3 linked regions of the Nothobranchius furzeri genome follow. The main gene of each other region encodes a partner of the protein of the gene in region 3 in a complex. Links are inferred from orthologs where the notes say so. Each region holds a gene or a part of one and is shown on either strand. Other genes may lie near its edges.

The links.
Region 1: the proteins of stk3 (region 3) and rassf5 are in contact, whole or in part, in a crystal structure (PDB 4LGD), measured with the Homo sapiens proteins. The link is inferred for Nothobranchius furzeri from reciprocal best matches to the Homo sapiens genes STK3 and RASSF5. Residues at the interface, in NP_006272.2 of Homo sapiens: Phe437, Phe439, Leu440, Leu445, Leu448, Gln449, Arg451, Leu452, Leu455, Asp456, Met458, Met459, Glu462, Ile463, Leu466, Arg467, Tyr470, Lys473, Arg474, Pro476, Ile477, Leu478, Ala480, Met481, Lys484, Gln488; in NP_872604.1 of Homo sapiens: Trp369, Asp370, Ala371, Phe372, Ile374, Leu377, Gln378, Phe380, Leu381, Leu384, Glu385, Glu387, Glu388, Lys391, Ile392, Val395, Gln396, Lys398, Tyr399, Phe402, Arg403, Lys405, Leu406, Ala409, Leu410, Ser413.
Region 2: the proteins of stk3 (region 3) and sav1 are in contact, whole or in part, in a crystal structure (PDB 6AO5), measured with the Homo sapiens proteins. The link is inferred for Nothobranchius furzeri from reciprocal best matches to the Homo sapiens genes STK3 and SAV1. Residues at the interface, in NP_006272.2 of Homo sapiens: Trp429, Lys430, Val431, Pro432, Gln433, Gly435, Phe437, Phe439, Leu440, Lys441, Asn442, Leu443, Ser444, Leu445, Leu448, Gln449, Arg451, Leu452, Leu455, Asp456, Met458, Met459, Glu462, Ile463, Leu466, Arg467, Arg469, Tyr470, Ala472, Lys473; in NP_068590.1 of Homo sapiens: Tyr311, Ala312, Arg313, Ala314, Pro315, Asp319, Trp324, Glu325, Phe327, Gln328, Leu329, Leu332, Asp333, Gln336, Leu339, Lys340, Leu342, Phe343, Glu346, Leu347, Ile350, Val351, Met353, Tyr354, Ala356, Tyr357, Arg358, Ala360, Leu361, Leu362.

Annotation. Positions count from the first base shown.
Region 1 is NC_091743.1:51,065,659-51,069,908, reverse strand, and holds the start of rassf5 (ras association domain-containing protein 5), read left to right. Parts: upstream 1-1,430; 5' UTR 1,431-1,559; coding exon 1,560-2,283; intron 2,284-4,250. Other genes in the region: ikbke (inhibitor of nuclear factor kappa-B kinase subunit epsilon), read left to right, coding at 1-20. UniProt on the Homo sapiens protein: Potential tumor suppressor. Seems to be involved in lymphocyte adhesion by linking RAP1A activation upon T-cell receptor or chemokine stimulation to integrin activation.
Region 2 is NC_091758.1:19,778,308-19,782,709, reverse strand, and holds the start of sav1 (protein salvador homolog 1), read left to right. Parts: upstream 1-1,464; 5' UTR 1,465-1,617; coding exon 1,618-1,711; intron 1,712-2,781; coding exon 2,782-3,258; intron 3,259-4,402. Other genes in the region: nin (ninein), read left to right, coding at 204-419. UniProt on the Homo sapiens protein: Regulator of STK3/MST2 and STK4/MST1 in the Hippo signaling pathway which plays a pivotal role in organ size control and tumor suppression by restricting proliferation and promoting apoptosis.
Region 3 is NC_091759.1:1,436,311-1,438,948, reverse strand, and holds part of stk3 (serine/threonine-protein kinase 3), read left to right. Parts: intron 1-1,415; coding exon 1,416-1,609; intron 1,610-2,262; coding exon 2,263-2,421; 3' UTR 2,422-2,638. UniProt on the Homo sapiens protein: Stress-activated, pro-apoptotic kinase which, following caspase-cleavage, enters the nucleus and induces chromatin condensation followed by internucleosomal DNA fragmentation.

The sequences.
Region 1 (4,250 bases), on a different chromosome or scaffold from region 3:
CCAGGCCCTCCACGCTGTGACATGGCTCCACCTGCATCGCCTCATTTTAACAGCCTCTGCTGCGCGGCGGACCGGTTCTCTAGATGGATGGAGGCTGTTATAAAAAGAGGAAGCTATTTCAAACAATCAATAAAATGTGAATCTCTGATTAAATGTCGGATGCACAGAGATGTGGGATAGGCCGCAGATGGATGTTTAGTGTGTGTGCTGATACCAACCTCGTTAATGTGTGTGATTGTATTTTTAATAGGCTGCCATGGTGACAGACTGTAGATGAAACAGCCAATGCCCAGTCAGCTGGTTTACTGGCTGCATTTCCTGTTTCTGCCCACTTAAGAAGCACTTGGGAATTTAACATATGGCCTCTATGAGAGCGTTTCGTAGCCTGATTAGGATTTTTGTTTGTGTAAATCAGATTTTCATGTTGGTGTGTTGATCTGTGTTTAGAAAATCATGATCTGTGCCGTCCTGACGGCAGTTTCCAACCATCACATCTGTCAGGATCTGTGTAAGGCAGACGACAGAGATTTTAAAAGGTGAAAATCAAATAAAATATTTATTGTCTTCGTCTTTCCAACTGTTTCAGATTTTCCACTTTTTCTGGTTTATTTGACTAATAAATTAGTAAAGAGTGAATATACACATTCTGTTTTAATATTCCTTTTTGTGTTTTTGATAAGTCATGTTTTTTTTTTCGTTTTCATTGGGAGTTATACCAACATGTAATTCCCCTCCATCAATGGTGAAGATGACCACTATTAGGGAAAGTCCGTTGGCGCCACAGTTCCTTAGAACACCAAAAACAGAAGTGCATGGGATGGCACACTTCAGTGAAAATATACCAAAAAACATTTAAAAATATCACGTGGTGTGGTCTGACCTTTGGGGAAAATAGTCCCCCCCCCCCTTTTTTTTTTAAACTAGCATAAGCTGATGTTGATTTCAGAAAGTGAGTGTAGGAGGAGTGTGTGTGCTGGGGGGGGGGGGGGGGGGGGGGGCTAAGGAGGCTGTAATGAACTGCTCATATGACGCGTTTGTCACTGGAAAATTACAAACACTTTCTAGCCCACACACATTATGTTTTAGTTCTGTTTTACATTAAGATAATATTCAAATAAAAACAAAAGTATTCACTCTTTTCAAGTTTATCTTGACTATTTAAAGAGAAAATATTTTTTAATCTAACATTTTATGTGTTTATGATTATTTTATCTGACTTGTTGTGAATTGCCCTTGGGTGTCTTGAAAGGCGCTTTTATAAATAAAACGTGTTATTATTTAACTGTAATTTTCTTTCATTACAAACTGTTTAGTTTTAACCTTCTGATGATACAGGAAGACCATTTAGTGCTCTGGATGAACCTTGGCTGGTGGGACAGCGCGCGCGCCCATCAGTGCGCCAGGAGCGCGCTCACGGCATTTAAAGCTGTTGGTACTTTGCGTCACGACGCGTTTGTCACTGGCGGGAGTTGAGTTTATAATCGAGGCACGGAGTCAAAACACGCATTTCTTCACACTCCGACCCGCCGAACACACAACCATTCAAGGCGAACGCGACAATGGCGTCTGTGAGCGTGGTGGGCCAGCAGCCCGGTCCGCACAGGCTGGACTCGGAACCGCCGGTGCTGCTCTTCAAACTCTCCGGCACCAAGACGAAAATCACCCTGCCGAGGAAGTCGTCCTGGGAGAAGATGATGTTCACCAGGAGCGGCGATGACCTGGAGCCGGTTAGGACCGAGGAGGCTCCTGGACCAGCCGGAGGAAGAGGGAAGAGAATGCCCAGGGAGGGATGCGGGGCCCCGGTTGCCTTTGATGCGCCACGTAGCCCGCACCCGGAGGACAGCGGCGGCGGCAGGTCACAGAATGGGCACGTCGATGGCTACAGCCACAAATATGACTCAAGTCGGCGGGGGGGCTCTCTGAAGGAGAACGCCATACTGACTCCAAGCGGGAACAAACGGTCACTCCGGCACCGGGACTCTCTGAGACGGAGCTGTCGGAGTGGACACACCGGTCACCAGAGCGTCTCCTCCGATGTGGTTTCCCCCCCGGAGAGCGGCGGTCTGCCGCTGGAGCGGCTCACACAGAGCAGGACAGGGATCGTGAAGCTGGCCCGGACCGAACCTCACCGCACCGAGGCCTGGTCCATCTTTCCGCAAGAGATGGATCCACGTGTGAGGACTGAAAGGGGCGAGGGTCACCGCTTCGAGAGCCAGCCGGTGAACCAGGACTGGTGTGATGTCTGCAGCCGGGAGATCAGCGCGCAGGTGGTCAAGTGTCAGAGTGAGTCAGGCTGAGAGAAAACTCCTCCAGAACATGCATTAGTGTACGGTTCTGATTCATTTAGTATATGAACACACACACACACACACACACACACACACACACACACACACACACACACACACACACACACACACACACACACACACACACACTAAAATGGGGACTTTGAGAGCGAGCCAGTGCTGCAGAAGGACATTTCTAATCGCTTTGTCCACGGATCCAGCCATATAAGCCCGTTATATCGCTCTTTCGACTTTGCCTCACAGACTTAACACGCAAGTAAAGTAGAAAAGATGGTGAATTTATGATGCTGCAGTGGTGAAACGCTGCAAGGACCTGCAGGTAACAGAGAAAAAGAGTCCCGATGTATCTGAGATGTGTGATTTGGCCATTAAGTGACTAAATTAGGCTTTTATTTTGTCAATCAAGACAAAAAAAACTTTAAATTTTATTTAGAAAAAGTCAGGAAACTCCAATCAAATGTAGACACAGATGTTGGTGTTGATCACCCCTAAAGAAGCCCACTCAGAGTGAGGGAAACCCCTGATTTCATGAGTCAGTCTTTCAGGGTTGTTCTCCTCCCACCTGCATTGGTGTTTACAGCTTTAATTTGTGTTGACATGTACACACACACACACACACACAGACGACCTGAAGAGCCTTTGTGGGTTTATTTGTGCACATACTGTACATCCAGTGTGTGTGTGAGTGTGTGTTCATGCTGAGCTAGCATTGTGTCAGCAGCACTCTGTCATGAGGAGGGTGGGATGAACCAAAGGACTGAAGGCGATGAAAGGAGTGAGGAGGGAAAGGGGAACTGATAAGGAATGGGAACACTTAAAGGATAATCCCTTTCAATCCCTCAACTGGGACACTTTCATCGGAGAATAGATGACACGTAGCTTGGTTTGATGTAAAACTGCAGGCAGGCTGAGAGAAAGATCTAATGTGAACAAAGGAGTTGGTCCGGCTCTGCAGAGCTGTCTGATTTAGTGTGCTGTTGGCGAGAGCTCGCTGGAGCGAGATTACTGAAGCAATAATCCCTCCACACACACACACACACACACACACACACACACACACACACACACACATACACACACACACACACACACACACACACACACAGGTTTTCACAACCCTAGAACTTCACTTGTGTTTTCCTTTCTCTTTCTCTCTCTCTCTCTCTCTCTCTCTCTCTCTCTCTCTCTCTCTCTCTCTCTCTCTCTCTCTCTCTCTCTCTCTCTCTCTCTCTCTCTCTCTAGCTTCTCTTTTTCTGGCCTGCAGCCTGGACGCTTCTCCTCTCTTTCCTCTAAGCATCCCTGGTGAACCTCGTGCACGGTCACGAGGGTAAACCACACAGTACACAGTGAGGCATTTTAAGGTATTTTAGGGGAAAAGAGAAACAAGCGAAACTGCCGAAATAGAAGAACACGTTATCGTCTCTCAACTACACCCTGGAAATGACAGGGAATATGAGACGGAAACAAATGAGCGTCTTTTTGTTTTGTTGCTTTGCTGCATTTCCTCTCATTTATTGCCCTCTCTCAGCCTGCTGCGCCTTTGTTGCGTAGGAATCCTGTAGAAACGGCGACGCAGCAGCTTGTCCCTCTGGGACTGTTGTGGCCTTGCCCTGCAGAGGAATCTGTCAGTCAGCTCCCAGTCTCGTCGTCCTCTGGCTTTCAACTACATCTGTGGGTTTCTTTTTTCTCTCTCATTTAGTTTCTGTCTTTATTCCTCTTCTTGGCAGCTAAATCATAGAGTCATGTGATAAAACATCCCAACTCAGCATGTACAAAGACGCTGCAGGAATATCTGAGCCATGTGTAGAGTCAGACTGTTACTGGGCAATAATCTTGTTCTGTTTTGCTGATTTAATAGGGGATGATATGAAAACACACACGTCACGGAGGGGAGCTTCTTAATCCCAGCTCTGAGTGTCTCCTGTCTGGGATTACATCCCA
Region 2 (4,402 bases), on a different chromosome or scaffold from region 3:
GTAATTGTTCGTGACACCAAAAGGGGGCAGTAAAACGCTGAATTAAACTTCAAATTTAGGAAAGACTGCATTCTTGGATTTAGTAAAACAATTTTTTCCAGTTACTAATCTTCTAATCCATCTGATCTGTATATTTTGGACCAATATGTTTCCAATCAAGACTCAAACTATCTGTAACTTTCTATGTATTTTTTTTCTCTTAGCTGAACAAGAATGGCAAAGCTGATGTTCTGATCAAAGACCTGTATGTGGAGAACTCCCATCTGGTAAAGGCTCTGGAGAGAACTGAGCAGCGACATGAAATTGCAGAGAAAAAGAACTACCTGCTGGAGGAGAAGATCTCCACCCTGAATAAGATTGTACGGGATCTAAACCCGTCTTATCTTCCAGGGCTTTCTTATAACTGTAAATACGCATGATGACATCTCAGCATCTCATTTTCTTTTAATGTTCTCTATGTAAAATGGACTTTTACCTTCAGGGACACCTCTGTAGCAAATCCTACCAAATGGACAAGAATCTGAAGGTTCTATTGCAATTTTTTACTTGGATTTTTGCAGTATTTTTGTTATTCTAAGTTGCTGAACTTGCAAATATCAAGTCATATTTTAGACATTTTATTTCTCTGTAATTTATTATTTTACAAATATCTTAAAGTAGAAACTGTTGTATCATATATATATATATATATATATATATATATATATATATATATATATATATATATATATATATATATATATATATATATATATATATATATATATATATATAATATGAGAAATGTAGCACTGTTATGTATTTTGATACAGGTGTTTTTATCTCATTGTTTATTTGTAAGCAGCCATACGATGAAGGACCAGAATCGGTTTGTGATAAAATCATGAATCGTAATGGAGGTTTTTTGCTCCTATTTAACACTACTTGAAACTCTGCACACTTTTAATGTATGTCAAATAGTAATATTAAGAAAAATAGAAATATGCTTGTGAAACTATACTGCAATATGTAAAGTTACTGTTAGACGGTGCCATTATGAATGCTTGACTTTCTCTGCAGTGATGAACACTAAAGTGAAATTAGGGTGATGTGAAAATAAAGTGTATGAGCTGTGGTTGGTGGTTAATAAAAATCAAATAATGGTGAATATATTAGCATTATTTAGCCATATTCAAAGTTTTATAGTTTTGTTTTCATGGTTTTATTTTCCTTATAGTTGAACTTTTCTCTCTAACAATGTTTAGTTAAAGAGGCAATTATTCACAAAGCGTGTTTACAATAAGGTGAGAACTTGGAAATAAAGAGTATAAAAGCACTAGTTAAAGTGTCCATTGTTTTATTTTTTTCGTGTTTTGTCAACACACTTTGTACGTTTTTGTACGCCTGCTATCCGGTAGAGGGCGCTTTAGTAGCTGGGAGGATCGTAAACACCCAGCCCGGGTGAGGAGGGCCAGCTGTGGGACTGAATCGCTGCAATCGCTCGCTGTAGCAGCAGCTAGCCGGCTAAGCGCTAACTGTAGAAAATGTTCACATTCCGCCCGTTGTTTCCTGCCAGGGCTGCGGAGGATTGTGCCATGACATCACAGCCGAGTTTTTGACGTTTCTGAGCTTTGAGTTATGCTCTCACGAAAGAAAAGTAAAAACGAAGCGTCGAAACCAGCCGAGGTACACGGGAAATATGTGAAGAAGGAAACGTCGCCGCTCCTCAGAAGTAAGCGCAACAAGTAGTCGACTAGTTAGCTAGGGTTAGCATTAGCCTGCTAACTGAAGTTTGCCACTGTCCGCTAGTAAACTGCTCATTTAAAAAAACAGAATAAAGTTTATGGACACTTCTTATCTTGTGTTTTTTACGTTTTTAATTTGTCTTACTTTACGCACGACCCTAACGGGATGCTACATTGTAGTTTGCTGTTAGCTGAAGGCTATGGACTTGATCTGCATTTGAAGTTTTAAGTCGATTAGTTGCACCAATAAAGCAAATTAAATGTTAAATAAATTGCTGGGCTGTGTAAATAGTCATCAGAACTTATGGAGTCTGCTCTTTAAAGGATACTTTAAAGACCAGAGTACTCAGTTTCTGGTAATGACGCAAAACTGTCACCAATGAAGTTTAAAAACATTTAAAACTTGCTACTCTGCTAAATGCATTAGAATCCTGCAGTTTGAAGGTTTTCCTTCAAATATGAGGACTTGTCCTCAAGAACTATAAGAAAACGGACTCTGTCGGTGTCTAAAGTGCAGCAGCTTCTCTGCTCTTTCAGATATGCAGGTATGTATTTGAAATGACACAAAATAAAATGTTATCAAGTGTTTTATGGAGCTATACTTGGACAGTGCAGCCTATTTCCAGAACAAAGTACAACTTGTCAATAGTAAAATAATTTGATGCTAGCCAACAATGTTGGGATGTCTTGATGTGCTGAGACTCTTCAGAAATGTTTCTGCTGCAGAATATCATCTGTTTTAAGGCAGTGTTACTTATCTATAGCTATTAAATTGGATCAAAAGTTTGTGATTAGATAACAAATCATATCCATGTGTAGTAAATCTGAGCCTTCCTCCTATACACACACGAAAGATAATTAAATCTGCAATTATTCTCATCACAAGTCTCATGACATGTTAAATTAACCTAAATAGTTTATTTATTTTACAGATAATTTTACAATTTTCAAGTAAAATGTAACATTGCCAACCATTGCATCCTGGGTTTACCACATCGCCCCTTTGCTGGAGATGCTGTGTTCACCATTCATGATGTTCCCACTTACCTGTTTGCAGATCTCATGCCCTCATTCATCCGTCATGGACCTACTATTCCCAGACGAACAGAGGGGCCCCCATCCGAGATTGGGTCTACTTCCTACTCTGTGGCACCCAACAGAGAGGCTGTGGTGTCCCGTAACAAAAGTGTCCTCCGCACACCTGTACAGAGGCCTCCACATGAGGTGGCACGCAGAGAGAGCCACCGCCTGTCGGCACCTCCATACCTGCCTCGGAGTGTGGGAGACTTGTCCCACGAGTACAGGGGCTCGTCGCAATCCTTCCCCACAGAAGTGAGTCCCATGTCTGAGAACGGGGACGGTGCTCTGTACTACTACCCATCTGACCCTTATTATGAAAACCAGCAGCAGCGCCAGCCTAGGAGAGTCCAGGAATGCTTTCCTGATGACTATAGATATTATGAACACAATGAACACAACTTTCAAAGACTTTCTCACCAACACGCTTCCCCAGCTCCCAGCCGACCCCCCTCAGGTAAGCTTGGCATGCATTTGCTGTGTTCTTTTGAAAGGAATAGTTTGCAATATGTCTAGAAGCAGGTGTATTTTATACATGGCACACACATTCTTGAAGCGGGTCATTTATGACTTGTCAGCAGCAACATTTGTGGTTTAAATAAGAAGCTTAAACAAGAGCAGGATAATTAAAATCATACCAGGCAGTCGGCACCACAAAGTTTAAATAGATATGTTTTAGAGGTCAATTTTAAGATTTTAAACGTTAGGGTCCTATGGAAATGTGCAGCTTGTGTAAAAAGGCAGCTTTGGTGTATGGTTGAATGTTATGGAAAGTTTTAAACCACAAATACAAGCCGCGTGCTTTCAAGCTGAAATAAGCAGTTTTAGTTTAGTTTTTCTAAGAGTTAAAATATTTCCATCCCATTGCCCAACATTATACTATATAATCTGTTCTATGCGTGTCATTTTCATGAGATTAAAAGTGTTCTGAGGTCGCAGGAATTTTCTGTATTTCATCAAACAGAAGAGAACGTTTTATTTTGCGGTTGTCTTGTTGACAACTTGTATTCGTGTTATGACGACAGATCCACCTCGCTCGAGTCATGGAGCCATGTTGGAGAGATGCTGAGCTTTTTAATACCTTTCTATTGGCAGACTAATAATTTGTCCAGAGTCTTTGACTCGACTCTTAAATGGGTATGTGTGTTAAACATCCTCTGTTTGGAGAAGTAATGTACTTCCTATAGGGCTGATTGGCTAACGGCTAACATGAGCACAAACCAAAGTGGATTGCTGCCTTTTTAAAATGACTTCAGGTAGAAAATTCTCACCACTTGTTACAGTTGTTACTACTGAACAAGGAAAAGTTGTTGAACTTAGGAAAAGGTGGAATTGCGATGATTTTCTGGACCCCTTTAATGTTAAACATCACCCTAACACTGAACTCTGACACATTAGATGCGTTTGTTTGAATAACCGTAACTCCACGACGGTTTGTGCAGTCAGAAAAATTCTGACGTTTTTTTAAAAATGAGAAGTTTTGCTTTCAAGTCCACTTAGAGTTATTACGATAAATCCTGAGCAGAGACAGATGGGCAGAAGTCATTAATTATATCAGCTGTAGCAGCGCCATGACAAATAAGAAAATTGGAAATGAACTG
Region 3 (2,638 bases):
TTTGACATGCAGGATGGAAGCTGGCAGCAGCAAAATTTAGATGCATGTCTGCAAATTTGTTCAGGGCTCCAACTTGGAGTCAGGTTGGAAATGTGGGCAACTCGCAGCCTAAAGGTCTGTGCCGTCTCCAGAATGCTATGCTTAATCACGTGTGGTCGCAAGCCCTATTGGCATGTTCCAACCAACTTCAAGTTCAGCATTATATAGACACTGGCCATGATCATGTTAACTACAGAACAAAGTTAGCCACAGCTATGCTACTTGAGCTAACACTAGCACCACCCTAAACTACTGCCAACACTATCCCGAGCTACAGCCAATGCTATTCCAAGATACTGCTAACACTATCCTGAGCAACTGTCAACGTTGGCCTGAGCTACTGCCAATGCTAGCCCAAGCTGCTGCCAATGCTAGCCTGAGCTACTGCCAATGCTAGCCCAAGCTGCTGCCAATGCTAGCCTGAGCTACTGCCAATGCTAGCCCAAGCTGCTGCCAATGCTAGCCTGAACTACTGCCAATGCTAGCCCAAGCAGCTGCCAATGCTAGCCTGAGCTACTGCCAATGCTAGCCCGAGCTGCTGCCAATGCTAGCCTGAGCTGCTGCCGACGCTAGCCCGAGCTACTGCCGACGCTAGCCCGAGCTACTGCCGACGCTAGCCCGAGCTACTGCCGACGCTAGCCCGAGCTACTGCCGACGCTAGCCCGAGCTACTGCCGACGCTAGCCCGAGCTGCTGCCGACGCTAGCCCGAGCTGCTGCCGACGCTAGCCCGAGCTGCTGCCAAAGCTAGCCCGAGCTGCTGCCAACGCTAGCCCGAGCTGCTGCCAACGCTAGCCCCAGCTGCTGCCAACGCTAGCCCCAGCTACTGCCAGTGCTAGCCTGAGCTACTGCCAGTGCTAGCCCGAGCTACTGCCAGTGCTAGCCCGAGCTACTGCCAACGCTAGCCCGAGTTGCCACCAAAGCTAGCCCAAGCTGCTGCCAACGCTAGCCCGAGCTGCTGCCAACGCTAACCTAAACTACAGCTGATGAAAAATTCATGTCCTGGTTGAGTGGGTGGGGCAAACCAGTCTTTCCATTGTTGGGCTTTATTATGGGGTGTTATTGGTCACTTATTGCTCCTGTGCCATTTTGAGCTCCAACTGTTTCCAATAGTAAAAACAAAGTTTTTGTAGAACCCCATGATAAAAAGACTAAATATTTGCTCATAAGTTTTCCCAAAAGGCCATTTTATCTTCATAATGTCATCAGATAATATCACAGCTAAAATAGTTGTTTCTGCTGTGGCGTTCCTTTGTATTTCTGTGTAAAACGACCACGCTGAGAGAAAAGTAGAAGCAAAATGTGTTTTTTCTCCTCGGATTAAAAAAAAATCTGCAATTCTGTAAGATGTCATTAAAACGCCTTCCTCCCTCCTCAGGGCACGCCACGTCCCAGCAGCCCATACGCCCGTCCTTCATGGATTATTTTGACAAGAAGGACTCCAACAAGGCGGCCCAGCAGCAGGAGAACTACAACCACAACCAGCCGAAGGAGCAACTGGGCTACCACATCCAGTCCAAAAATGTCTTCCCAGACAACTGGAAGGTTCCTCAGGACGGAGACTTTGATTTTGTGAGTTTCTGAGTGTTAATCTAGATCAGGTCTGGGGTCATTTATGGGCCCTGGGGGGGATTTTGTGTCGAGTTGTGTTCCTTCAGTCGGCTGCTGATGCTGTAAACCTATTTTGAGGAGTGCAAATAAAAAGTAAATCACCATAAATTATTTTTTTGCATTATCTCAGAAAATAAATAAAAATTTTGTGGCCCGTGAAGACTGATAACTTTTTTTTAAGTTTATTTTCATTTATTCACAAATAAAAACAAAACACAAAACAGGTTTGCAAAAATAAAAAAAGAAAAAGGAACAGAAAGAAGCAAAACTTATATTATCTGTTCCTGTTAACCAAAATAAATACAAATGACAATAAAGTTACTATAGTTTAAAAAATGTCTGACCTGGTTTACTCTTAACTTTGGCAAAAAATGGAGAGAAAACAAAAATGCACAAAAAAAATGTTTTTCTTCTTATATTAATGAAAGGAGAAAACGATCAATGCACAACAAAACACATTATGATTTTTGGCCCTCTTCTAGAAAATGTTGCACACCCCTGATCTAGATGCAAACTTTTCACAGACAAGTGATTAAAATAGCAAAGCAGAAGCAGCCCAGTGTGACCGATTTCCTTCCTTCCTTCCTTTTTGTTTTGTTTTTGTTTCCACCCAGTTGAAGAACCTGGACTTTGAGGAGCTGCAGCTGCGTCTGAGTGCCTTAGATCCCATGATGGAGCGGGAGATCGAGGAACTCCGGCAGCGCTACACCGCTAAGAGGCAACCCATTCTGGACGCCATGGATGCTAAGAAAAGGCGACAACAGAACTTCTGAGCTCTGTTCCCATTGCTTCCTCTTGTGGCCTCGATTTTCCAAAGCCAGCGCTGAACTTCTGTCCTGGAAGCCCAACAGGAAATGATCATGTTGTAAATGGAATCACTGATCTCTGAAGTTGGATTGGTCTGAGTTTTTTTTTTTTTTTTTTTTTTTTTACATCTTTCATGTTTCCTCTACACTTCCTCTGATGCTCTTTTTCCAGGTAATGCTTCAT